Linked DNA regions of Sus scrofa. The protein of the gene in region 5 purifies or fractionates together with the protein of the main gene of each other region. This does not show direct contact. Links are inferred from orthologs where the notes say so. Each region holds a gene or a part of one and is shown on either strand. Other genes may lie near its edges. The genes, in order: PRPF6, USP39, RNPS1, PRPF8, PRPF4B, PNN and SART1.

Evidence for each region.
Region 1: the proteins of PRPF4B (region 5) and PRPF6 purify together in Homo sapiens (affinity purification with mass spectrometry; 3 studies listed by BioGRID and IntAct, with this or other methods). This does not show direct contact. The link is inferred for Sus scrofa from reciprocal best matches to the Homo sapiens genes PRP4K and PRPF6.
Region 2: the proteins of PRPF4B (region 5) and USP39 purify together in Homo sapiens (affinity purification with mass spectrometry; 3 studies listed by BioGRID and IntAct, with this or other methods). This does not show direct contact. The link is inferred for Sus scrofa from reciprocal best matches to the Homo sapiens genes PRP4K and USP39.
Region 3: the proteins of PRPF4B (region 5) and RNPS1 purify together in Homo sapiens (co-immunoprecipitation; 4 studies listed by BioGRID and IntAct, with this or other methods). This does not show direct contact. The link is inferred for Sus scrofa from reciprocal best matches to the Homo sapiens genes PRP4K and RNPS1.
Region 4: the proteins of PRPF4B (region 5) and PRPF8 purify together in Homo sapiens (affinity purification with mass spectrometry; 4 studies listed by BioGRID and IntAct, with this or other methods). This does not show direct contact. The link is inferred for Sus scrofa from reciprocal best matches to the Homo sapiens genes PRP4K and PRPF8.
Region 6: the proteins of PRPF4B (region 5) and PNN purify together in Homo sapiens (affinity purification with mass spectrometry; 5 studies listed by BioGRID and IntAct, counting the BioPlex papers as one, with this or other methods). This does not show direct contact. The link is inferred for Sus scrofa from reciprocal best matches to the Homo sapiens genes PRP4K and PNN.
Region 7: the proteins of PRPF4B (region 5) and SART1 purify together in Homo sapiens (affinity purification with mass spectrometry; 3 studies listed by BioGRID and IntAct, with this or other methods). This does not show direct contact. The link is inferred for Sus scrofa from reciprocal best matches to the Homo sapiens genes PRP4K and SART1.

What each region holds. Positions count from the first base shown.
Region 1 is NC_010459.5:62,846,509-62,850,008, forward strand, and holds part of PRPF6 (pre-mRNA-processing factor 6), read left to right. Parts: intron 1-1,629; coding exon 1,630-1,751; intron 1,752-3,176; coding exon 3,177-3,315; intron 3,316-3,500. UniProt on the Homo sapiens protein: Involved in pre-mRNA splicing as component of the U4/U6-U5 tri-snRNP complex, one of the building blocks of the spliceosome.
Region 2 is NC_010445.4:59,153,798-59,157,753, forward strand, and holds the start of USP39 (U4/U6.U5 tri-snRNP-associated protein 2), read right to left. Parts: upstream 2,801-3,956; 5' UTR 456-2,800; coding exon 188-455; intron 1-187. Other genes in the region: C3H2orf68 (UPF0561 protein C2orf68 homolog), read left to right, coding at 2,984-3,090, 3,174-3,292.
Region 3 is NC_010445.4:39,745,558-39,749,057, forward strand, and holds part of RNPS1 (RNA-binding protein with serine-rich domain 1), read left to right. Parts: intron 1-2,578; coding exon 2,579-2,720; intron 2,721-3,198; coding exon 3,199-3,298; 3' UTR 3,299-3,500. UniProt on the Homo sapiens protein: Part of pre- and post-splicing multiprotein mRNP complexes. Auxiliary component of the splicing-dependent multiprotein exon junction complex (EJC) deposited at splice junction on mRNAs.
Region 4 is NC_010454.4:47,867,787-47,871,286, reverse strand, and holds part of PRPF8 (pre-mRNA-processing-splicing factor 8), read left to right. Parts: coding exon 1-148; intron 149-796; coding exon 797-932; intron 933-1,196; coding exon 1,197-1,366; intron 1,367-1,539; coding exon 1,540-1,669; intron 1,670-1,794; coding exon 1,795-1,941; intron 1,942-2,418; coding exon 2,419-2,579; intron 2,580-2,875; coding exon 2,876-3,067; intron 3,068-3,303; coding exon 3,304-3,500. UniProt on the Homo sapiens protein: Plays a role in pre-mRNA splicing as core component of precatalytic, catalytic and postcatalytic spliceosomal complexes, both of the predominant U2-type spliceosome and the minor U12-type spliceosome.
Region 5 is NC_010449.5:2,385,505-2,389,004, forward strand, and holds part of PRPF4B (serine/threonine-protein kinase PRP4 homolog), read left to right. Parts: intron 1-2,349; coding exon 2,350-3,500. UniProt on the Homo sapiens protein: Serine/threonine kinase involved in spliceosomal assembly as well as mitosis and signaling regulation. Connects chromatin mediated regulation of transcription and pre-mRNA splicing.
Region 6 is NC_010443.5:169,724,385-169,728,448, reverse strand, and holds the start of PNN (pinin), read right to left. Parts: upstream 2,801-4,064; 5' UTR 2,724-2,800; coding exon 2,611-2,723; intron 1,971-2,610; coding exon 1,899-1,970; intron 556-1,898; coding exon 487-555; intron 135-486; coding exon 62-134; intron 1-61. UniProt on the Homo sapiens protein: Transcriptional activator binding to the E-box 1 core sequence of the E-cadherin promoter gene; the core-binding sequence is 5'CAGGTG-3'. Capable of reversing CTBP1-mediated transcription repression.
Region 7 is NC_010444.4:6,370,543-6,374,471, forward strand, and holds the start of SART1 (U4/U6.U5 tri-snRNP-associated protein 1), read right to left. Parts: upstream 2,801-3,929; 5' UTR 2,704-2,800; coding exon 2,391-2,703; intron 332-2,390; coding exon 274-331; intron 1-273. UniProt on the Homo sapiens protein: Plays a role in mRNA splicing as a component of the U4/U6-U5 tri-snRNP, one of the building blocks of the spliceosome. May also bind to DNA.

The DNA.
Region 1 (3,500 bases), on a different chromosome or scaffold from region 5:
GTGCCTCCACCACACTGAGTGTGCCCGAATTCCTGCCCTCGTGATTTAAGCCTTTTCGTTACGGGACATTTTAGACAGAAAAGTGTAAGAAAGACCTAAGATGCTCCCAGCCTCTCCAGTGAGAGGGGGAAGGGCCCCCACTCCCAGTCATTGAGGCCCCCCCCCGTCCTTTTTATCTTTTAGGGCCGCACTCTCGGCCTATAGCAGTCAAATCAGAGCTAGGGGTCAAATCAGAGCTGCAGCTGCTGGCCTACACCACAGCCAGAACAATGCTGGCTCCCCAGCCCCCTGAGCAGGGCCAGGGATTGAACTCGCATCTTCACGGATACTAGTCGGACTCGTTTCCACTGCTCCACAATGGGAACTCTTTGAGCCCTTCTGATCCTACCTTCCTCGTCACTGTTGACAGCACTGGGGGCCACGGCAGGCGCTACCCCACAGGGATGGGCTGTGGGTACAGAACTCTGAAGCCCTTTGAAACTCTGGTTTCTGTGTCTCTTCACTTAGCCTGGAGCAGGCACCACTCTCTTCTGTGCTTGTATTTCTGCAGGAAGAACCGAGGCCCTTTTGTGCTTAGAAACGTGGAGTTCTTCCAGAGCTCCCCCTGGGGGTGGGCCCGGCCCACACACCCACACCCTGGACCCTGGGCAGCGGTCACTTAATCCCATGGGGCCACATAGGCCCCAGGGCCTTTTTGTAACTGCCCTCCAGGGCCTTTGTCGGAAGTCACAGGGGGAACCGGGGGCTCGTGGGCGGCTGAGGTGGGGTCCTGCCTGCTTCCGGAGCCCCTGGTCAGGACGCACCTGCACTGGGTTCCCGGCCTCTGGTGGTTGAGTCAGGGACCCGGGTCTGAAGGAGGAGACCTCCCTTTTTCCCCGCTTCCTGCCTGTTTCCAGCTGGATGTCCTTGCAATCAGGAGGCTTGCTAACGGCCCAGCCAGGCTGCCAGGTGGCCCTGGGTGGCTCGGAGCCCTCCTGCAGGACACCTGCTCTTGGTCCAGGCTGTGTGGGTGTTCACACGTGCAGAGCCTCGTTCTGCTGCTTCTGGCGGCTTCTTATTCGCCTGGAGCTGTGCCGCCTCCTGTGCAGGAGCGCTGGCAGCACCTGCCAGCGTGAGGTCTGTGCCAGGCATGGTCTCGGCCCTGCGTGAGGCTCAGTAAGGACAGCTGCCAGCCTTTTCCTGTGATTGTCCAGGGGTCCTGACCCCCAGGGGGCACTGCTGCAGGCAGCAACTGGCTTTCTTGTGTCGCCTTGATGCGCACCGAGGCTGACATCACGCGAGGCCGGAGAAGAGGCCTAGAGGCCCGGGAGTGTTTGTGGCAGGTCTGTTGGGATGGGTGGGCTTTTGGTTTCCCTTAGTGTTTTACACATTTCCAGTGAGCGTAACTTTTTAAATGGAGAACACGTACGACACTTATTTTTTAATGGGAGCCAGCCTGTGGGGCAGCCGGTGCCCCTGCGGCCAGCAGGCAGCCTCGTCGCAGCCCCTCCTGCTTGCGTTTTGCTGTTGGTGCCCCCGTCCTGCTGGGCTTTCCCTCTGGAGACCTTCCCACTGCACGGTTTCTGGCGGGTGCCCTGCTCCCGGGTCGGGGGCGGGCCCCTCACGCCCTCCTCTCTCTGCCGTACGTAGTGTGTGGCCCACAACGCCCTGGAGTGCGCCCGAGCCATCTACGCCTACGCGCTGCAGGTCTTCCCCAGCAAGAAGAGCGTGTGGCTGCGAGCTGCCTACTTTGAGAAGAACCACGGCACCAGGTACGCCTGCTGCCCTGAGCGTCCCCCGAGACGCCAGGGTGCCGGGTGCGGGGTTTAGGCCCCACCTTCCCACGGGTGGGCGAGGGCCCGATTCGAGGGCCAGCCATCTGGCGAGGGGCAGAAGCTCCTGTGGCATTTGGAACACTGCAGCCGGGGCTATCTTGATGGCACCTTCTGCGACAGCGTTGCTGTTCTTTCACAGTTGAGCAGCCGGGGCACTAAAGGCTCCTCCCAAGTGCCGGCAGCTGAGCCAGGGACGCCTGGTGGTCTGAGGGTCCCGGGGGCGAGGCTGGAGCCTCAGGCCCCACGTTTGTGCCAGCGCTGGCTTCGGCAGTGTGGGCGGTGCGGCATTGAGGCCCAGGCGTGTTTTTCATTTAAGCCGTGCTAGATTGGGCTTGCGCTGCTTTTTGTGCTCTGAGGAGGTCCTTGACAATTTTCTTCAGTTGTATTCTTTAATTGAAAACACCTTTTGGGTCTGCCTCGTTGGCTGTAACTGCTGATTGAATTAGATGTTGCAACATCTGGAGTTAGCGGGCAGCCTCTGCCGGGCCCTCTGCGGCCGTCCCAGTGCCCGGGCCTTGCTGATCCCACCCGGGTTTAGCTGGGAGTTCTGAGCCCATTTCTTTGTGACGTTGCTCAGGCTTGGTCTTGAGCGTGTCTTTGCAGACCCGCTGCCGAAGCCCCGTTCCCTCCCCCACCACCAGCTGCTGTGTGTCTTGGGGTTAACTCCTTTGGGGACCTTTTGAGATGACCTTGCTGCTTCACCCTGCACAGGTTCCAGTCTGCAGCAGGGCCCCTCCTGGGGGATGTGGCCTCAGGACCGTCCCCTCCCCCATCTCTGGCGCCCTTGGCGTCTTGCCCGCTCAGAGGCTGACCAGTCGGGACCTGGGGCCTTGGCTCTGGTGTCAGCCTGCACTCTGTCTTGCTGCTGAGGCCCCAGGAGGTCGTCTGTGCCAGGGCTGGGGAGCCACCTGAGGCTGGGGGCTTCCCCCCGAACCCCCGGCTGGAGGGCTTCTTGCTCAGTAGTGACCTAAGATAACTTCCTTCCAGAAGACAGTTTCTCTGATGCCAAAGAGTAGACTCGGGTCGTAATCTTTATTGGCCGATCTGCGGTTAGAGATGAAAAGGCCCGTCGCCCAGGCCGCGGAGTTATCATGCTCCCAGACTCGCGGCTGTGAAAGACTCTCTTGAGAAGCCCTCCGCCAGGCTCGGACTGAACAATGCGCTGCTTTGTGGCGCCCTCTTCAGTAGTTGAGCTTAGAGCCTTTGTGGAGAGAGGCGATTTCCCCACACTCTCCCCGTCGTAAAGATCTAGTGAATCATTTACAGCGCCGGACTTTGAAGCAGTAACTGTCTCTTCAGTGCCCGCAGCCCGCTGCAGGCGGCCTGCGTGCCCTGCTGGTGACCGAGCCCTCTGTCTCGCAGGGAGTCCCTGGAGGCCCTGCTGCAGAGGGCGGTGGCCCACTGCCCCAAAGCGGAGGTGCTGTGGCTCATGGGTGCCAAGTCCAAGTGGCTTGCGGGGGACGTGCCTGCAGCAAGGAGCATCCTGGCTCTGGCCTTCCAGGTGGGTGAGGGGTGCCTCGAGGGGCTGGCCGAGGCCCCAGGGCGCCGGTGTCCCGGGCCCTCTGCAAAGCCCTTCCCCTGCCCGTGGACAGGAGCTGACCCCGGAGGGGCTGTGTGTGGTCAGGGAGCTCTGCAGGCAGATGGGGCCCAGGCGACGGACACCTTCCTCCCATTTGCTGCCACTCA
Region 2 (3,956 bases), on a different chromosome or scaffold from region 5:
AAACTAAAGCTGCTGTTCACTGTTGTTGGAAATACTATAACTACTTTTATTATTAAGACTAGTACTACCCTTATTAAAACGCAGTCGAGTCAGGTGGCATGTGTAATGTGACCGCTTTGTGGGGAAGGAAGATTGTAAAGAGAAAAAGAAGAACGCCAGAGTGGAGCCCGCGCCCGGCCCCGCGCACCTCGCACCTCCCGCTCAGGCTCCGAGTCCTCGTCGACATCGCGCTCCCGCTTCACTCTCACGGCTGGGATTACTGGAGCCGGGGCCTCGCGCGCGCTCGCCGGCTCAACCTCCCGCTTCACGCGCACCGGGCTGCTCCGGGAGCTCGGCGCCTCGGTTTCCCGCTCCCGATCTCGCTCCCGCTTGACGCGAGCCGAGCTGCTCCGCGACTCGGACTCGCGCTTCCCGCGGGTCGAACCACGAGACTCCCGTTTGGACCGGCCGGACATCGCCACTACCGGCCCAGTTGCCCGGCGCAGACTCCGAGCGAGACGGAGCGCGGGGCAAGCAGCCAATCAGAAACGGCGCTGTTTACAGACTCTACGACTCGCCGATAGGGACAAATTACGCCGCAAAGAAGTACTGCGCCTCTTGTGAGTTTGGGGGGTGCTGTGGCCCTCCCAGAGACAGACGGGGGCCGGGGGCCGGAGAGCTACGGCCACTTTACCCATGATTTCTCTAAAAAAGACAAGAACTTTTTACTAGCTGCGGAATTTCCGGAAGCTGTCATTGGGCCCCAGGCTTCTTCAAGATACTTTGTGCCCTGCAACCAGAATTGGAAGGTCGTCTCCAGTTTCCGTGTCTCAGAGACTGACACCGAACCAGGATACAGTGGAGCGACCCCGAGGCTCTAATTCCACATTTAGAGGATTGTTTTTGGTATCACAGGAAAATGCAAACGACGATGAGATGAGGGAGACAAGTGACGCTGATAAAGCTCAAGCTTCAAGGCCTGAGACTTCCACGACCCCTTCCGCGACCACGAACTACTTTGTTTATATAGTTCTACTGAGTTGTGACTGACCTTCAATAAATTGCACGTTTGAAATGTGTAATTTGGGAAGTTCCCGTGTGGCTCAGCGGTTAACGAACCCGACTAGCATCCATGAGGACGGGGGTTCGATCCCTGGCTTTGCTTAGCGGGTTAAGGATCCGGCGTTGCCCTGAGCTGTGGTGTAGGTCGCAGACACTGCTCGGATCCCTCGTTGCTGTGGCTGTGGTGAAGGCCGACGGCTACAGCTCCCATTTGACCCCTATCCTGGGAGCCTCCATGTACTGCGTGTGCAGCCCTAAAAAGACAAGGGGTTCCCGTCCGGGCTCAGTGGTTAACGAATACGACCAGGAACCATGAGGTTGTGGGTTCGATCCCTGGCCTTGTTCAGTGGGTTAAGGATCCGGTGTTGCCGTGAGCTGTGGTGTGGGCCGCAGATGCAGCTTGGATCCCGCGTTGCTGTGGCTCTGGCGTAGGCCGGCAGCTGCAGCTCCAATTCGACCCCTAGTGGGAACCTCCATATGCAGCAGGATCGGCCCAAGAAATGGAAAAAAATAAATAAATAAAAAATAAAATAAAATAAAAAAGACAAATGAAACGAGTGTGCAATTTGGAATTCCGGGTGTGGTTTAGCAGGCTAAGAACCCGACACTGTCCGTGAGGATGCAGACTTGATCCCTGGCCTCCCTCAGTGGGTTAAGGATACAGCGTTGTCCCAAGCTGAGTTGTAGGTCACAGATGATGTGTGGAGGATCGGTGTGGATGTTGCATGGGCTGGCAGCTGCAGCTCCAATTTGACGTGCATATGGAACTTCCATATGCTGCAGGTGCAGCAGAAAAAAAATAAATACATAAGTTAGTCTGCTTGAATATCAATGGAGGTACATATACAGTCCAAAACCAAAGAGATAATGAACTTAACCACCAGCCACCAAGTGTTCTGCCCCCACCATTGACGTGCTTTCAGTGCACTCACTTTCTGTTTTTGTTTTTGTCCTTGTTGTTGGCCAGCTCTGGCATATGGAAGTTCCCAGGCCATAAATGGAACCCCCTACACATTAGCGACCAGAGCAGCTGTGGTAACAATGCCAGATCCTTAACCCACTGAGCCACAAGGGAGCTCCAGATCAGTGCACTTTCTAGAGTTTATCTAAATGGAAACACAGAACCAGTCTTTTTACCCCTGGCCTCGTTCACTCGCATATTTATTTTGAGATTCATCCACGCTGTTGAATGTGTAACAGCTCGTTATTTTTGACTGCTCAGCGATATTCCATCGTGTGGATGTATCAATCCATCCCTGTTCTAATCTTTTGTCTCTTTTTAAAGAGGATTCAAAAATGACACAGGCTCAGACCCCTGAAAAGCTCTAGATCCTCTCACGGAGAGAGTTAAGACGTCAGACCAGTGGGCGCTGGGTGGGCTGGAAGGGGGCATCCCCGCCACCGGTGGCGAAGGGGCCGAGGGGCCCGGTGCGGGCAGGGGGGTGGGCTGAGCAACGGGGGCGCCGCAGTTTGCCCTTCCGGGCACTGGCCTCCTCACGACCTCGCAGATCACGAGTAAGATGAGACGATCACGCAGCTGATGATGGAGTTTTCGCAGCATCTCATCACGGGAAAAAAAGACGAGAAGGCTCCACACAAATCACGGAGTGCTGTGATGGGTGCTTTGTATTTTTCTGAATTTTCTGGTGCATCAGCAGTAAGCCTAAATCCTGCTTTCTTATTGATAACGTCACAAAAAAGGCAAGGCCCCGCCGGGGGAATGGAAGTCGCGCACGTCCCATTCCCAGCACCACTCCACCAGCCCAGCTCACGCCTGGAACTCCGCGCGTGGTGACGCTCGGCCCGGTCGGCCGGTTCCCCGCCGACGTCAGGGTGCGGAGCCGGAAGTCGAGCGACGGGTGGCGCGGAGTTCTGCCTGCTGGAGGGCTGCCGTTGGAGCCGTTGAGGCGGAGGCGGCGCAGCTCCGCGCACAGAGCTCCAGATGGAATCGGCGCCGGGGCCCGGACCCGGCCTCTGCTACAAGCCGGGCGGGCGGCTGGACATGAGCCACGGCTTCGTCCACCACATTCGACGGAACCAGCTCGCCCGGTACCTCCCCGCCCCGCGCCACCGGCGCCACCCCTGGCCTGGCCTGGCCCGGCCGTCCCTGACTCCCGCTCGGCTCCCCGCAGGGACGACTACGACAAGAAGGTAAAGCAGGCGGCCAAGGAGAAGGTGAGGAGGCGGCACACGCCCGCGCCCACTCGGCCCCGCAAGCCGGACCTGCAGGTGTATCTGCCGCGACACCGAGGTGAGGCCGCCTGCCTCTAGCCCTCTGCCTGAACGCACTCTTCCTTTCTATATGGCAAAAAACAAACAACGAAAAAAAGAAACACACTCCTTAACCCCCAAGGCTCAGTTCATCTCGTCCCTTCCCGGAACTTCCGCCTCGACGCTCTCCAGCTGCCTCTCAGTGGTTCTCCCGGCAGAACAGGGACCCTCAAGACTAGTTAAGCAACACTATTACTGGACATACCTGGGAAGCGGCAGGAAGTTGTCTGCTGGTTTGCCCCCACTATACTGAATTCTCATATTCCCACCATCTAACAGAAAAAAAAAGGTTTGGCACTGTTCTAGACGACCAGGACATACCTGTGACATGAAGCCCAAACCCAGTTAATGACCTTCCCCCTAGCTTCCCACCCCCAGTTTCTCTGCCCTCTAGAGAGAGTTAAACCTACACCGCTAAATTTGTCGAGCCATCCTTAAAGTGTTTTTAGGTGTTAGGTACATCAATTCGTTTAGTTTCAAGAGGATCTCATAAAATGGGAATTTTCACGGGTTTCACAGTCAGGAAAACAGGTACAAACAAAGAGATTGAGTAACTTGCCTGAGATCTCTGAGAAGTAAATGGTAGAGCCTGGCCTGAACCCAGACAGATCCCTATCCACTTCTCTACTATTCTCCAATACTGT
Region 3 (3,500 bases), on a different chromosome or scaffold from region 5:
GTTTTTATGTGGGAATCTTTTCTTTTTTGCCTCCATTCCTCCAGTGTGTAGAAGTTCCTGGGGTGGGGATCAAACCTGTGCCACAGCAGCAACCAAGCTGCTACAGCGACAATACCAGGACCTTAACCCACTGCACCACAGGGGAACTCCAGGAATGTTTTCTCACCCTCCCCACCCTTTTTTGGCTTTTTAGGGTCACACCCAGGGCATGTGGGGGTTCCCAGGCTAGTGGTCAAATCAGAGCTACAGCTGCTGGCCTACACCACAGCCACTGCATCTCAGGATCCTTAACTAACTAGTAAAGCCAGGGGTCAAATCTGTGTCCTCAGGAATACTAGTCAGATTCATTTCCACTGAGCCATAATGGGAACTCCCCCCCCCCAATCCTCTTTGACTCAATTTCTGTTTTGCTAACATTTCAGCATTTTTAGAATAATTTTGCTGAATTCGCATATTTTACCCATTTCCCAAGATCTTGTGTCTTAATTATTTATGACATTTAAAGCCACTTTGTATTGGGACAGTAATTTAATGACATTTGAACACTTGTGCCTCATTTCAGATTGCCCATTTTCATTTTGTCTTCAAGTTGGCGTTTTAAGGAATGTGGGATTTGTCTCTGCCCAGCTCGCTGCTGCTGTAACCCAGGCCATTGGAGCTGACGGCCCGGGATTGCCCGCAGTGCCATGTGGGCTGCCAGGCCAAGGGACAGGAGAGTCTAAATCCCTCAGAGGCTGTTAGACACTTGATAGGTAGCCTGGCAGTTTTTTGGGTGATTGCCCTTGGGCTCTGGTAGAGTTTGTATACCACAAACTTAGGTGCTCCCTCTTTTGATCTGCTTAAGTCTCGCTAGAGTGTGCTGGGCATTGAGCCTGAGCTGCGGTCCATCCCTCTGTGCCTCGGCTCCTGACCTTGTGAGTCACACCTGTTTTAGAGATTCAGTCTGTGTTTGACTGAGTCAGAGCTCTCGCTTCAGGAGACCTGGACACGTTCAGGATGTGTGTGATTATGAACATTCCGTATTGTCTTCAGCTCTGGCAGGGTTTTTCGTGTCCTCATATTGTGCTGTGCACCACTGAACAGAATGGCTGCATGCTGTCTCCAGAAAGAAAGTGGAAGGGCTTGGCCTTCACTGGCACCTACCTGGCCAGGGGATGGCTTTGTCTCTGCTGTTGCATAGTCAGCACCTGTGAGATCCCTGATTTGGACAGGCTTTTGGCCAGGGGCCAGGAGCTGCCAGAGGCTGCGTTTAAGTATCCTGAACATCGGTCCAGGCTCCTGCGTTCTCTCCTTAGTACCTCAGAAGTTGAAAGTAGGCCTGAGAGGATAGAAAGAGCTCTCCACCCTTCGGGGGCATAAGGGGCTGTGCTTGTCCCATGCATGAGCAGTTCCTGGACTGAGTTGTGGAGTGTGAGGTCAGGGTGCAGGCTCCCATGGGATTCTGGGGCCTCTGCTGGTTTCCTTTGCTCGTTCTCTCCCTGAGGCCCTGCAGGGTTCCTTGGGCCTCCATTCAGAGCTGCCTCCCTTACTGTTCTTTTTGTTCATGCATGTGGTTTAGTCCTGGCTGTACACAGACTCATCTCCCTGAGGCACTGTTTCCAGAGAGTGTGTGTGCGTGTGCGCGCGCGCCGCACCCCTGACATATGGAAGTTCCCAGGCTAGGGGTCGAACTAGAGCTGTAGCTGCCGACCTACACCACAGCCACAGCAACAAGGGATCCAAGCCACATCTTCGACCTTCACCACATCTCAATGCCCTGCCGTATCCTTAACCCACTGGGTGAGGCCAGGGATCGAACCCTTGTCCTCATGGATACTAGTCAGTTTCGTTAGCACTGAGCCACAAGGGAATTCCTATTTCCAGACTCTTGATAAACGTTGACATCTCCTGAACCTGCCCTCCCAGGAAGTCCCTTCCTCTCAGGCCCACCCCTCAGGAGATCATAGGTCATCCAGAAACCTAGTGGTGATCATCTTTCACCCAAGTTCTGGAAATTGTACATCCCAGTTAACCCTCAGGTTTCCACATTTCACCCCCAGCACTCCTGCCCAAGCCCCCTGATAGGTCTCCCCACTCCTTGCCTGCCCCCTTCCCATTGCTCTTTAGAAGGAAATTGAGGAGTTTCCGCCATGGCTCAGCAAAACCAAATCTGACTAGCATCCATGAGGATGCAGGTTTGATCCCTGGCCTCTCTCAGTGGGTTAAGGATCCAGTGTGGCTGTGGCTGTGGTGTAGGCCGGCAGCTATAGCCCCGATTCGACCCCTAGCCTGGGAACCTTCACATGCCATGGGTGCGGCCCTAGAAAAGACCGAAAAAAAGCAAGTTGAGTTTCTAACTCTCCCTTGGCATGTTCCGCCCTCTCCCTTGGCATGTTCCAGCTTGCGCATCTCTAGGTGTGACTTGGATAGCGCTCCCCAGGAAGCACGCAGTGCATCAACAGAGTCCCTCCTTGTTTTCTTGATGAAACCGTTTGCCCTCGTCCCCCCACTTCTGTCCTTCTTGCTCACATTTGGCATTGAGCCTTGCCCAGGGTAGGTGCTTGTTAGATATTTTGTGGTTTTATCTTTTCTTTAACAGGACAAATCGATGGCCAGGAGATCACTGCCACTGCCGTGCTGGCCCCCTGGCCTAGGCCACCCCCCAGGCGATTCAGCCCTCCCAGGAGAATGCTGCCACCACCTCCTATGTGGCGCAGGTCACCCCCACGGATGAGGAGAAGGTAAGTCGCTGTTGTCTCTGAGGACTGACGAGGGTCAGTTTTGGTTTATTTCTTTAATACGGAGGGCAGTGGTTTGGGGACCTCCGTGGGGAACGCAGCATCTGTGGCTCCCGGGGTCCATCGTGTTCTTTCCAGCTGAGAAAAGGAAGAGCAGCTGCCTGATAGAGGAACTGGGGCTGGGGGTGACCCTCCCCCTGCTCCGTGAGAAAACCGGAAGGAACAGAGGAGCAGCGGAGAGGCCCGCGTTCAGCCTACCTCTCTAGGAAGCCTGCCGCTTGTGCCTTTGGTCTCCAGAACCTTCCTTTCTCTCCTAGGGGTGCTGTCAGTGTCACCCGGAGGGAGCTGTCCTGACTTGGTGCTGGACTATGAAATTGTATAGAGTTGCTCTGAGCGGGGCTGCGTTCCCTGCCATCCTAAATTCAGAGCTGCTCCTTGGCCTGTGTGCTTGTGGCTGATGTGGTTTCTCCTTTTCCCACAGGTCGCGGTCCCCCAGGCGCAGGTCCCCTGTGCGCCGACGATCCCGCTCCCCTGGCCGCCGCCGCCACAGGAGCCGCTCCAGCTCCAACTCCTCCCGATAAGCGGAGCCACGGAAGCTCTGCCCCTGAGACTTATGTCCCATCCAGCTCACTTTCATCAGTTGTCTAGCCAAAGGGGGATGGGTAGGAACGAAGGCTCTCACTCAGGGGCAGGCTTGGGGATGTGCCTGGAAAGATGGTTTTCTGGCTAGAAAGATCCCACGTTTCTAGTTCCTGGGAGTCAGTTTAGTGGCAGAGCCAGCAG
Region 4 (3,500 bases), on a different chromosome or scaffold from region 5:
ACTTTCGTTCAGGAATGAGCCATGAAGAAGACCAGTTGATTCCCAACTTGTATCGCTACATACAGCCATGGGAGAGTGAGTTCATTGATTCTCAGCGGGTCTGGGCTGAGTATGCACTCAAGAGACAAGAGGCCATTGCTCAGAACAGGTGGGCATCCAGGAGGGCATAGCAGTCCTGTTTGGGGAGGGTGACTGTTGAGCCCCGTGTGGAGGTCAGAGAATGTCTCTCTCTCTTTTTTTTTTTTTTTTTTTTGGTCTTTCTAGGGCCTCACCTGCAGCATATGGAGTTTCCTAGGCTAGGGGTCGAATTGGAGTTGTAGCTGCTGGTCTACACCACAGCTCATGGCAACAACCGATCCTTTACCCACTGAGCAGGCAGGGATCGAACCCACATCCTCATGGATACTAGTCAGATTTGTTTCCTCTGAGACACGACAGGAACTCCATCCAGCATGTCATATTTTTCTGGAGTCAAGGAAGTAGGTTTTAGGGAGTCCCCACTGTAGTGCAGTGGGTTGATGATCCAGTGTTGTCTCTGTGGTGGCACGGGTTTGATCCCTGGCCCAGTGCAGTGGGTTAAGGATCTGGTATTGCCGCAGCTGTGGTGTAGGTTGCACCTGCAACTCAGATGTGTTCACTGGCCTGGAAACTTCCATATGCTGTGCGTGTGTTCGAAAAAGAAAAACAAACCAAAAAAATTGGAAGTAGGTCCTGTGTGTGACCCTCTTTATCCTTGGCGAGGGAGAAATGCTAAACTCTTCATACAAGCATACGTTTGGTCTTTTCTCCTTGGCAGACGACTGACCTTAGAAGATCTAGAAGATTCATGGGATCGTGGTATTCCTCGAATCAACACCCTCTTCCAGAAGGACCGGCACACGCTGGCTTATGATAAGGGCTGGCGTGTTCGTACTGACTTTAAGCAGTACCAGGTACGTGAAGGGGATGATGGAGAGAGTTTCCCTGAACTAGAATCGGTGGCCGTGAGGTATAGGTCACAGGTGTGGCTTGGATCTGGTGTGGCTGCGGCTGTGGGGTTGGTCAGCAGCTGCAGCTCCAATTCAGTGCCTACCCAGGGAATTTCCGTATGGTGCAAGTGCAGCCCTAAAAAGAAAGAAAAAAAGAATCTGTGGCCATGCCAGGAACCTAGGGCAGTGAGCACCCAGAAGCTTGACCGTACCTGCCTTGCCATGTAGGTTTTGAAGCAGAACCCTTTTTGGTGGACACACCAGCGGCATGACGGGAAGCTCTGGAACCTGAACAACTACCGTACAGACATGATCCAGGCCCTGGGTGGTGTGGAGGGCATCCTGGAACACACTCTCTTCAAGGGCACGTACTTCCCTACCTGGGAAGGGCTTTTCTGGTAAGGAGTCTGTTGTCCCCTTAGAGCGACCTCTCCTATGTCACACCCCTCTGAGCTCAATGCCTTCTGTGCCTTTGGTTTCTGCTGTGGTGTTTCCCAGTCAGCCAGCCCGGGAGGAGGGCAGTGTTCTGGGGGGTGGCAGGACGTGACTACCTTGTTGTTCTGCTTTCCAGGGAGAAGGCCAGTGGTTTCGAGGAGTCTATGAAGTGGAAGAAGCTAACCAACGCTCAGCGATCTGGATTGAACCAGATTCCCAATCGTAGATTCACCCTCTGGTGGTCCCCCACCATCAACCGAGCCAATGTGAGTGTGGTGTGGTCAGTAGACATGGGAGATGGGCAGCTGGAAACAAGAATTTCTTCTTCCTTGGTTATGTCCTGAGACCCACAGTCCCTTGGCCTCTAGTGTCACTCTGGTTTTCCTGTCAGGTGTACGTAGGCTTTCAGGTGCAGCTGGACCTGACGGGCATCTTCATGCATGGCAAGATCCCCACCCTGAAGATCTCCCTCATCCAGATCTTCCGAGCTCACTTGTGGCAGAAGATCCACGAGAGCATCGTTATGGACTTGTGTCAGGTAGGCTGGAATTGAGGGTGGAGGATGCCACAAAAACTCAAGTCAGGAGTTCCCGTCGTGGCGCAGTGGTTAACGAATCCGACTAGGAACCATGAGGTTGTGGGTTCGGTCCCTGCCCTTGCTCCGTGGGTTAATGATCCGGTGTTGCCGTGAGCTGTGGTGTAGGTTGCAGACGCGGCTCGGATCCCGCGTTGCTGTGGCTCTGGCATAGGCTGGTGGCTACAGCTCCGATTCAACCCCTAGCCTGGGAACCTCCATATGCCGCGGGAGCGGCCCAAGAAATAGCAACAACAACAATAACAACAAAAAGACAAAAAAAAAAAAAAAAACTCAAGTCAGCTTTCGCTTTGGAGTATGGGGAATGCACCCTTGAAGCTCCAAGGATGAAACTTCTCTTGTGGTACCAGGGGTCACATTATCTTAGCTTCTGTAAGTGGGCTTCCATAAACGTTGTAACCTTTCCACCTTGGCCTCCAGGTGTTTGATCAGGAACTGGATGCACTGGAAATCGAGACGGTACAGAAGGAGACAATCCACCCCCGAAAGTCCTATAAGATGAACTCTTCCTGTGCAGATATCCTGCTCTTTGCCTCCTACAAGTGGAATGTCTCCCGGCCCTCGTTGTTGGCAGACTCCAAGTAAGTGCCCTTTGACCCAGCCGCAGGCATCCAAGAACCTTAGTTTTACTGTTCTCCTAGCGTACTTGAGGAATTGTCCCTGGCTGTCTAACTTGGAGCCAGTGCTGCCCCTGGATCTTGCCATCATCCTCAGCCACGTCTGCTGATTCTCTCATGGGTCTTATTGATCTGGAACAGGCAGAGGGGTAGGTTTTGAGATGCAGATGTAGTGATTGAGAGTTCTCGCGGTTCTGGGGACATTGGCTGTGCTTGTGTCTGCCTGGAAGCCTACGCTTCTGACCCCTCTCCGCCCTCAGGGATGTGATGGACAGCACCACCACTCAGAAGTATTGGATTGACATCCAGTTGCGCTGGGGGGACTATGATTCTCATGACATTGAGCGCTACGCCCGGGCCAAGTTCTTAGACTACACCACAGACAATATGAGTATCTACCCTTCACCCACGGGCGTGCTCATTGCCATTGACCTGGCCTATAACCTGCACAGGTAAGTTGGGGCTGAGGAGCATGTATCCGTCAGCCTCATACTTTAATACATACACATGTTTTAAGTTTGTCCAGGTGAGATGAGATTTGGCTCTTTTCTCCTCTAGGTCACTGACTGCGTGTAATGAGCAGTCAGCCTGGCCAGCAGTCTTTTCTTTCACTATAGAGTCGCGATTTGCCTTGTTCCTGGGACTGCTGGCCTGGTCTTAACATTTCTTGCCTTGTCCACCCTCACAGTGCCTATGGAAACTGGTTCCCTGGCAGCAAGCCTCTCATCCAGCAGGCCATGGCCAAAATCATGAAGGCAAACCCTGCCTTGTATGTGTTACGGGAACGGATCCGTAAGGGGTTGCAGCTCTATTCTTCTGAGCCCACTGAGCCCTATCTCTCCTCTCAGAACTATGGTGAACTCTTCTCCAACCAGATTATCTGGT
Region 5 (3,500 bases):
ATTTAACTTGTCAGAGAAACAGCTTCACTATTTTTCTTGTAAAAAGAAATGGCATTCATTTTGTTCACCATTGCTCCCATCTCCAAAGCATGAATCAAATGCCTCCTGAATAAGATGTTATTAGGAATGTTCTTTGAAAAAAATACTTGAAAGAGGAAATTAAAGTAACATTAGCAGCTGGCGGTTGGTCACTCTATTTTAAAGTTGGCGCATGGCTGCTTACATCTCGCCGTATGCCCCACGACGACCTAGGTTGTTGGAAGGGTGAGACTTGTACGTTCCATTTAACCAAATACTTGATTAAATAGCCTCAAACACTCGCGCACTGTCTGCATTTTGAATGCAGCTTCGTTTCCCAGTGAGATTTGAAGGATGTTGCTCAGGTCTCAGTGAGCCCTGTCCCAGCCCAGCTCGGGCCAGACACAGCCTTGGCAACGTGCAGGGTTCGACTGCAAAGTGTAAAGGTTAAAGCGTAAACGAGTCTGTGCGGGATTTATATACGTGTTTATTGTTAACATGAACCATCCAAGAAGCCTATTAGATTCCTTAACAAGCAACCTTTTCCTCAAGCTTTAGAAGAAAACTCTTGCTAATGAACCTGACGAGCACACACTCGTTCACTGTCTGTGACATGTCATGGGTGTCATCGACTCATTGAGTTCAAGTTTCCTGGTTGACCTAGTCAGACTTCAGTGGTTATTGACTTTGAAATTTGCCTTGAGAGATCAGCGCAAGAGGCTGAAGGTCTGCTCTTGGCCTGGCACGAGGCGGGCAGAGCTCTGGGGCCGACCGAGCTGGCTCTAAGGTGCTAGTAGCGTCCTGTCGGTAACCCGCTCGTTGTTTCTTGCGTTAACATTCATTAAGTTGCGGTGGAAACAGGTCTCTCGGAGTGACCCTTCAGGGGCTTGGGCATCGTGATGTAGATCCTGATTCTAGAAGCTTTAGGAGCTCAGTCTTCTTTTAAAAGACATTACTTCTCTGTTGGTAAATGCTTAAGAATTTCGATTTGAAGCTACTTGGAAGATTTGTAAATTATAGGAAGCATTAGAAAAGGGTTAAGAGAGCAGATGTTTGTGGGGGAGGTGATTAAGTTTCAGCGATCTGGGGTATTGCAGTCAAGAAGTAGGCGTGTGCACCGGGGAAATAACTGAGCAAAAGCAGAATGTTTACCGTCAAGAGCAGAGAGTTGAGAAGAGTTGGCATAAGCCAGTGGTAGCCAGTGATACCATTTGTGTGTTAGTCTATCTGTCCAGGTCGTTTCTTTGACCCAGCAAATGCTTCTTGAGCGCCTTCTCTGGGTTAGCTGATCTTCTAGGCCTCGGGGATAGAGCAGTGAGCGGAACAGATCAAAATACTGCTCTCGTGGGGCTTATATGTTATCATCAGGAGAGACAACGACATCCTATGAGGTGGTGGCAATTTGGAGAAGAATGAAGCAGAGAGAGTGAGTGTATGTAGTGGGGGGTTGCGGTTCAAAAGACTTGGTCTGGAAAACTTGGCCGGTTTGAGAAAGTGTGACGTGAGTGCAGACCAGAGGGAGGCAGAGGAGGCAGCAGCATGTACTTGGGGAGAGCTCTCCGGGCACGGGGACCGCAGGGACAGCCCCGGGCCCGGGGTGGGGGTGGGGGGGTCTTATTGGCCTGGGGCAGCGGGGCTGGGGTGTTACTCCGAATGCGGGAGATGGGCGTCAGGTCTCACTCCCAGGGTGATATGACCTGACGGTTCACAAGCACCTTTGAGCAAGTGCAGGAGCTCTGACGTTGAATCAATACCAGTCTTCTGACCAGCATGATATGCCTGTGACCTTAGGCGAGTGCCACAAACCTCCTTGAACGTGAAGTGTCATCTGCCGTGGGGACATATGGAGAGCCAGTACTTCTCGAGCACTTTGTGTGACAGCAGTGTCATCACACACAGCCCGTCCCGCAGCCCAGCGTTGCAGTTCCTGGGCTCTGCCTGTCTCGGCCGTGTCCTCCCAGAATCCCATACATCTGTGTGGGAGGTGCTGGTGTAACAACCGAGTTCCTGAGTGACTGTTTCACCGAGTCAGTATTAATGACAGTTTGCTGTAGCCTGGCTTGGATTCCCTTTTTCTGTTAAGTATAACGGTTAACCTCCCCAATTATGTATTTCCTCTACTACGTTTGGTATTTGAGTTCAACCATTAGAAACAAATTACGGTTGAATCACTCTTCAGCTCCGTTCTTGCCACATACTTTTGAAATAAAACATTTCAGCGACTAACTTCATGTATTACATTGAGATGTATTTTATCATTACTGTTATTTTTTATGATTCTGAATGCGTGATAAATTATGTGACTTTTACATGTGTTTGATGCATTTATAGGATGGAAGATGCTGATAATTCGGAAAAGAGTGTAAATGAAGAAAATGGAGAAGTGTCAGAAGACCAGTCTCAGAACAAGCACAGTCGTCACAAGAAAAAGAAACATAAACACAGAAGTAAACATAAGAAACATAAACATTCTTCAGAAGAAGACAAGGATAAAAAGCATAAGCACAAGCATAAGCATAAGAAACACAAAAGAAAAGAGGTGATTGATGCGTCTGACAAAGAAGGTATGTCTCCAGCCAAAAGAACTAAACTCGATGACTTAGCTTTGCTGGAAGACTTGGAGAAACAGAGAGCCTTGATTAAAGCCGAACTTGACAATGAGTTAATGGAAGGAAAGGTCCAGTCTGGGATGGGGCTCATCTTGCAGGGTTACGAGTCTGGCTCTGAAGAAGAGGGGGAGATTCATGACAAAGCAAGAAATGGGAATAGGCCTAGTACCAGGTCTTCGAGCACCAAGGGGAAACTTGAACTTGTGGACAATAAAAATAGCGCAAAAAAGCGAAGCAAAAGCAGATCCAAAGAACGGACTAGACATAGGTCTGAGAAAAAGAAGAGTAAGGGCGGTGTCGAGATAGTCAAAGAGAAGACGAGGAGCAAGTCGAAGGAGAGGAAAAAGTCCAGAAGCCCCTCCAAAAGGAGCAAGTCCCAAGACCAAGCGAGAAAGTCGAAGTCTCCCGCCCTCCGAAGGCGCTCTCAAGAGAAGATTGGCAAGGCCAGATCTCCCCCCGACGACAAGGTCAAGATCGAAGACAAAAGTAAGCCAAAAGATAGGAAAAAGTCCCCAGTTACAAATGAGAGTAGAAGTCGGGATCGAGGCAAAAAATCTCGATCCCCAGTTGACGCGCGAGGTAAATCCAAAGACAGAAGGTCACGGTCCAAAGAGAGAAAACCACAGCGGTCTGAAACTGATAGAGAGAAGAAACCAGTTAAATCTCCCTCTAAAGATGCCTCTTCTGGGAAGGAAAACAGGTCGCCCAGTAGGAGACCTGGTCGGAGTCCTAAGAGAAGAAGTCTGTCTCCGAAACAGCGCGATAAATCACGAAGAAGCAGGTCTCCGCTCGTAAACGACAGAAGGTCTAAGCAGAGCAAGTCGCCGTCTCGAACTCTGTCCCCTGGTAGGAGAGCCAAGAGCCGCTCCTTGG
Region 6 (4,064 bases), on a different chromosome or scaffold from region 5:
AAATGTAGTAAGGTGAAAAGGCTATATTCATCCTCTATGAAGTTCTTTTAATCTCAATTACCCTCTTAACATCGTCATCCTCTGGGTCGCTTTCTTGGCGTGATTCTCTCCGAGTCCGACGCTCCCCGCCCAGCCTGACAAAGGAAAGAGAATTTAGAAGGAGCAATAAAAACTTTGATCTCTTTTACCTCTCAAGATGGTTAAGTTTTTGTAGTAAAAGACAGAAAAATAGTACAAATTGAGTATTTTCCCAATCTTATTCTTCTCATGACCTTTGTTAAAACTGCTGTTATTGTTAGTGAAAAGTTGAGTTTTAAGTGATATTGGCTGTCTCAGTTCCATCAGATACCAAGGGAACAGACTCGGGAAAGGGTATACTACTCAATTCTAATAGAGCCCTTACACAACAATATTTAATAAATATTTATGCTACCTCAGAAAGTGAAACATACAAGTTTGCTTTCAGAATCTTTTCATTCAACATACCTACTGACTGCCCCTTCAAGGTCTCTCTGTTTGGCTGGGGGTCCTCCTCCACTATCTGAGAATCCACGCCTGCAATATAAATGTCCAACATTATAAACACGTAAATGTATTTATATGAGAGAGTATTTCCATTTAGGGAACAGAATTTAGTTACAAATTAAAAAAAACAAAAACAAAAACCCTCCTAATTAAAGTAACCTTAGGGGCTCTTCTCCCCCTTCCCAACAACCCTGGGAGCTGTTTGCTTTATTTTTTTTATTTGTTTTGCTTTTTGGGCTGCACCTAGAGCATATGGAGGTTCCCAGGCTAGGGGCTGAATGGGAGCTACAGCTGCTGGCCTAAGCCACAGCCACAGCAACATCAGATCTGAGCTGTATCTGCGACCCATACCACAGCTCATGGTTCCTTAACCCACTGAGCAAGGCCAGAGATGGAACCTTCAACCTCATGGTTTCTAGTCAGATTCGTTTTTGCTGTGCTACGACAGGAACTGCTATTTACTTTCCTTTAATAAAGACTCTGCTGGAGTTCCCATTGTGGTGAAGTGGTTAACGAATCTGACTAGGAACCATGAGGTTGCAGGTTTGATCCCTGGCCTTGCTCAGTGGGTTAAGGATCCAGCGTTGCAGTAAGCTGTGGTGTAGGTCACAGACTCGGCTTGGATCCCACGTTGCTATGGCTCTGGTGTAGGCCAGTGGCTATAGCTCTGATTAGACCCCTAGCCTGGGTACCTCTATATGCCTCAGCAGCGGCCCAAGAAATGGCAAAAAGACCAAAAAAAAACAAAAACAAAAACCCAAAAAACTTTGCTTGCTTAAAAATAAATAAATAAATAAAGTAATCTTAAATGGTCATTTATCCCCAAATGCTTTTATAGCGCTTCTTTTACAACTATGGGAATAGGAGTTCCTGTTGTGGCACTGCGGCTGCGAGTCTGACTGGGAATCAATAGGTTGCGGGTTCGATCCCTGGCCTCGTTCAGTGGGTTGGGGACCTGACGTTGCTGTGAGCTGTGGTGTGGGTCGCAGGTGCAGCTTGGATCTGATGTGGCTGTGGTGTAGGCTGGCAGCTGTGGCTCCAATTGGACCCCTAGCCTGGGAACCTCCATATGCCATGGGTATGGACCTGAAAAGAAAAAAAAAAAAACAAAAAACAAAAAAAAAAAAACAAAAACCTATGGGAATAAATTGTTTGCACATAACTGGTACAGTCACTTCAATCTCTAGTTTGGAGTGTAAAGTTCCTGGATAACTATACAGAAAACTACATACAGCTCATCACATCTTCAAACTACGGAAATATCTCTAACGTTGACTCTACCACAAAATTTGTTTAAACCGATGCCTTAATTTAGTTAGTATAGTAAGTACCAACAGTCTTAACATGTGAATTAAATCCTAAGGAAATCTTACCTCAGCAATAAACTACCACGTCCTCTACCTCCACCAGGACCAGACAGGGCCAGCAATCTGGCTTGGATGGGCCTACAAAATATTTACAAATCAGTACAAAAATCGTATCTAACAGCACCAAACACCTTAAGGATGAGGTTCATCATCAAAAGAAAATAACCAGGAACGTTCTAATCTGACGGTTTCAAATCCACGTGTTTCAAACAGGACAGGAAGTACTGCATTAACTTCCTTGTTTTTCCAAGATCAGTACCACCGAAATTGTATTTACCTCGCTGCCAGTACACATTAACAAGCTGGGGTCAGGCCCGAATTTCGCCACCCCAGAGGAAGTTGCATGAAGCGGGGGACAGCGTCCCGGGAGGGTCTCCGGACCAGTGCCGAGTCAGGCGGCCCCAGGAGGAGAAAGGCTTTGTGCTGCAGTTCCGGGCCTACAGGGCCGAGGGCGGGAATCGGCAGTCCCGGCCTTCCCTCAGGACAGGAAACCATTCCGACGCACCCCGGCCCCGCTCTCGCTCCTCACACCTGAGCCCCAGGACTTAGGGTGGCGGTCTCGGAAACTCCCACCTCACGGAGGACGGGATTCTACTGCTGCCCCGGGAACAGGCCTCGATGTTCCAGCCTTCTCAGGGCTGACCGCTCTCCCCGCCCCCAATTCACCCCGGCTTCACGACTGCATTTCGGAGACGGCAATTTCCTATCCGCCCTTTACCTCACGTCATTCGGATCCCGCCCGGTGAGCTTGCGAATATTCTCATCTACGTTCTTTAGGCTCTCTTTGGCCTTTTCTAGCTGCTCCTGCAAAGTTCTCACTGCGACCGCCATCTTCTCCCTGCGGCAGGCTTCGAGACTGCTCTACAGGCCGCGCCTGGCTGTGTCGCGCCGCGAAACGCGAGAGGACTGACAGCTGGCCTCAGCCAATGACAATAGGAGTTGTATTTCGGCCTTAACCATTCAGCAACCGGAAGGGGGAGAAGCTGCCGGCCCTTGAGACTCCGGGCCAATGAAAAGTCGACCAGGCGGTTGTCTCCCTCTCCAGTTAGCCGCGGGTGGCTGGGCTCCGCTTCTAGCGCAGAGTCGGGGCGGGTTTGAGAGTCCCTAGGTCCTCCGAGACGTGCGCTTGCGGCCGTGCTCGTTTGGCCAGGAGAGCGGAGCTTTCTAGCCCTTTTAACCCGTATATGACGTGCCTTTTTTCATTTTACCACCTAATCGCATTAGAGTAGAGCGGAAGCGAGTCTATTTTCCCATCTTCCCCGGTAAATGATTTTCTAAGGACAGGGTGCGGCCATTCTGTTGGTGCGCATGCCCAGAGAGGGGGTGGGCGGGTCGGCTCCCTTAATGAGGTTAAACCGTAAAGAGCACCGCAAAGCAAAGAATGAAGACGGAAAGATTATTAATCGTAATAGATAACATTTACTTTGTTCTCTACACCGTGAAACACTTTATGTGCCTTGTCCCCCACAAACCAAAAGCTTAAATAAAATCTCTGTTATTACTGATACGGAAGTTGAGTCTGGAGATACTGTAATTGTCCCTAGGTCATGCCGGCCTGGGGTCTTCCTATGATCAGACCCTGGGCAAGGATGTACTACAAGAAAAAAGCGATGGCGAGGCAGGCATTAGCTTCTACACCCGGCCTAATGCTCGTTGGTTTAAGACAGGGTCCGGGAGAGTAGCCCTATTGTTTGTGTCCTCCACCTTCTGGTTCTGCTTTACCCCTATTGCTGACCTGAGAACCGGTTTTGTTCCAGAAATATATTTGAAAACTGCATCTCAGAAAGCATTTTCGGGAGTTCCCGTGGTGGCGCAGTGGTTAATGAATCTGACTAGGAACCATGAGGTTGCGGGTTCGATCCCTGCCCTTGCTCAATGGGTTAAGGATCTGGCATTGCCGGGAGCTGTGGTGTAGGTTGCAGACCCGGCTCAGATCCCGCGTTGCTGTGGCTCTGGTGTAGGCCGGTGGCTACAGCTCCGATTAAACCCCTAGCCTGGGAACCTCCAGATGCCGCAGGAGCGGCCCTAGAAAAGGCAAAAAAAAAAAAAAAAAAAAAAAAAAAAAAAAAAAAAAAAAAAGGAAGAAAGCATTTTCCTACGGAAGCAATGTTATGAATAATCTTTGTGTTCTCATCCTTTATCCATCAGCCAGTGCATCCTTGCACGAAGCAG
Region 7 (3,929 bases), on a different chromosome or scaffold from region 5:
GTCCCAAACCGAGGGCCTGACCCAGCGCTCAGAAGAGCACTGGCCTCTGCATTAGGCGGAAGGCCTGGCCTGCCCCTACCCAGGAAAATGCCATCCTTCCTCTTGGGTCTGAGTGTCCACTTCTGTAATGCAAATCGTTGGCTAAGATGGTTTCTATGGCACTTCCAAATCCCAAGCAGAAGGCTCTACGATGAGAAAGCTTCACCCACCTGCTGCCCCCAAAGCTGCCCGTCTCAGAAGAAGACACAGTAGCATAAAGGTGACAGTACTCACTTGGTCTCCTCGATGCTGAGTGACGAGGCATCGCCCGAGCTAGTCTTGGAGCTGGCAGCTGGAACAAGAGAGAGAGAGGCTCAGGAGCTGAACACGGGGCCCAGAAGCCACTTCCTTGGCTCCAGCCGCAGGGCTGAAGGTGAGGGTCCCCCATCTGCCCCGAGACATCAGGGAACAGCAGCCTTCCTCCATCCCAGGGGCTCCTCCTACCTGACTCCCAGGCTGTCGACACACCTTCTGATCCAAAAGGTCCAACCTGCCACATCCTTCACTCTGCCACCTCTCCACCTCTGTGTATTCTGTTGTTACAACCTACACGGCCCTCTCTGGCCTCACTCTGATTAGCAAGATGCTATCCAAACGCAACAATCAGAGGCCGGAGTCCTGATTCCTGATCAGCACCAACTCCTCTCCCCTGCACTCCACAGCACGGTCACGGCCATCTCCAGGTCTGTTTTTGCTCACAGGGCAGGGCCCATGTTGGCAGCATATCTGTGTTCTCTCTGTGTAATTCACACAGTCAAAAAATACACTTACTGGCGCCTGTGCTGTGAGGATGCTACAGGAAATAAAGCAGCGCTTCTGAGCTCTTTCACCCACCTCATAAACAGCAAATGTCACACACAGAATGCCACACACAGAAGCTGGACGCCATCGGCTGGAGCTCCTCCCTCCAGCATGGCCACCTCGCAACCTACGTCTTTCCCTCCCACCCCACCTGGACCCTGACTCCCAAGCACCTCCGTGCTCGCTCCAAGGTCGCCAGCCTCCTTGTCTGTAAATCCGATGGATTCTCTGCCACTCTGGTTTTGCCTCATCTCCTGTGGTGTGTGACACCACTGATCACGCCCACAGATCCCATGACATGAGATGCTATGGTATTCTTGCTTTGGGGAACATCCAACCTCCTTTTTTGTACCATCTTGCTCCGCCTGCTACTAAAACGTAGACATTCCTGAGGTTCTGCCCCCGACCCTGGCTTCTCAATCCTCACTCTCTCAAGGGACTTCATTTGCCATTGAACCCTTATGACTCTCAAACTGCTCTGTCCTGCCCAAGCCCTGAGTTTCCCCATGTGCCTCATGCAACACTCCTCAAAACTGAATTCACTGTCTCTCTCCAAAAAATCTGCTTCTCTTCCAAACTCAACTTCCGTCGACAACACTACCACCCACCTGGTCACACCAGCCAAAATCCAAGGACCATCCTCAATTCCTTCTTCTCCTTCCCACTGTCATCCAAGTGCTTAAGCTCTGTCACCTCCTCCTCCAAAACACCTCTCCAATGGGTCAACGACTCTCCATCCCGCTGCTGCTGCCCTGGTGCCAGCCATGGCCAGTCCTTACCTCCTCTATGGGTCTTGACTGCTCTTTACCCAGTTCTCAACACAGTGTTCTCTGTGATAACGTGAATACGACTAACTCGCTCCCCAGCTCGAATTCATGGCTCCCTATTACTTTTGAAACAAAGTTCAAAATTTTTTGTTTTTTGTTTTCTCAGGGCCACACCCTGGCATATGGAGGTTCCCAGGCTAAGGGTCGAATTGGAGCTACAGCTGCCGGCCTACACCACCGCCACAGCCACGCCAGATCCGAGTTGCACCTGTGACCTACACCACAGCTCAAGACAGTGCAGGATCCTTAACCCACTGAGCCAGGCCAGGGGTCGAACCCACAACCTCATGGTTCCTAGTCGGATTCGTTTCCGCTGCGCCAGGACGGGAACGCCAACAAAATTCAATTATCTTAACAGGCTTGCAGGAGCCTCTGTGTTCGGACCCCTGCCTCATGTCTCTGCTATGAGCTCTACATAACCTGCCCAATACCAGGTGTCCTCCTGCCTCTACACACGATGGTACCACTCCATGCGTTCACTCGACACATTTAGCGAGTGCCTGTGATGTGTCAGTTAAGGAAAACAGAGAAAATCTCCACCTTCACGGAGTTTAGCAGAGAAAGCCAACCCTTAATCCCAAATAATCAAAACAAGACCCTTCCAAATGCGCTGACGACGGGCCTGGGGATGGCTGGGCCTGTGGGCTTGGCTTCCATCCCCGAGGCCCTCCACCCTGAGACCCTCCCCATCGCCCCGCCCCCTGCCCAGGCCCCGCCCCTCACCGGCCTCGTAGCCTTCATCTCGCTTCTCCCGCTTCACGCGGCGCTCGGAGGGCTCTGTCTGGCTACGCTCCCGCCCGTGCGTGCTGCTGCGGGCCTCCGCTTCGGCCCCGCGCCGCCCGCTCCCGCGCTCGCTCCCACGCTCCCGGCTCCGCTTTCGTCGTTCGCCACCGCTGCTGCCGCCGCCGCTGCTCCGGTGCTTGTGTTTTTTGTGCTCCCGGTGCCGAGGCGGCTGCTCGGTGGCGCTCCCGGTGCTCGCTCCTGCCGTAGTCCCGGCCGCCTCCTTCTCCCCGCGGTGCTTCTTTGACGACCCCATGGTGGTAGGTCCACCCGAGCCCCGCCGCCGCCGCCGCCGCCGCCACCGCCGCCGCCGAGCCCCGACGGCGCAAAATGGGAACACTTCCGGGTCGGGCCCGGCTGCGCCGTCGCGTTGCCGGAAACCAAGAGCGGCTGCTTCCGTCCTTTGCCTCGGAGCTGCCCCAAAGGCTCATGGGAAGGCTGGGATCGGGCCCGACTGCGCATTCGCGGCCGGCACTGGCCGAGCGGCGGTCTTTGACATAGTGGTCGGATTGCGCGTGCGCTCAAGCTTGAGGGGCGCGTTCGAGTCCGGGGAAGACCGTATCCCAGAATTTGAAGGACCTAGGGCCCATCTAAGCCAGCATGGCCTCCCTGGCTTCCCTCCGCTTGCACACCCTCAGCCACGGGATGCTCACTGCAGCGCCCGCCGCTCCAGCAGAAGTCCTCCTAGTAGACTCCCTGGGGTCGTGGCCGATCAGGTGTAGGAGGACGGAGCACGTTCTGCTCCTGAGACCCTCAGCTCCACAACCCAGCCTCCTCCCAGCCCCCACAACTAATATTGTCTGCAAACGCTGCCTTCCCACGGTCCCTGAATTGGGTTTTTTTAACGTGCGCTTTGACTGCTACGGAGCTCGAGATGGGCCTTTGCATGCCTGTGAACCCCTGAAATCGAACGCAAAATTTAGCACATCGGGGTGTGTGTGTGTGTGTGTGTGTGTGTGTGTGTGTGTGTGTGTGTGTGTGAGAGAGAGAGAGAGAGAGCGCGCTCGCGGGAGCTGCTGCTGCTTTTTTTTTTTCCCTCTTGAGAGGAGCTCTAACTTGAAGTTGCTTGAAGCTAAAATCTCAGTTTACACAGGAATTCTCCTATGGCGCAGCGAGTTAAAGATCTAAAGATCCGGGACTGTCACTGGAGCGACTTGGGTCACTCCTGTGGCTTGGGTTCAATTCCTGACCCAGGAACTCTCGCATGCCACAGGCACAGCCAAATAAACAACAACAACAAAAACTCTGTTCACACAATCTCTCCATCCCTCCTGACACCCCTCACCTCCCAGTTGCCCCATCTGGAGGCCCATCTGTCTGTGATTATGCTCCCCTTTAAAGTTCCGCTTTCCTCCCCCCCAGAACTGGGAGTTCCCAAAGGCAGAAGCCATTCTGTCCTATTCACTCTTGACTTTCTAGGACCCAGCATTTCTAGGGCAAGTTGCCGCTGTTGCTCTTGGAGATGCCATGCTCACACCTCAG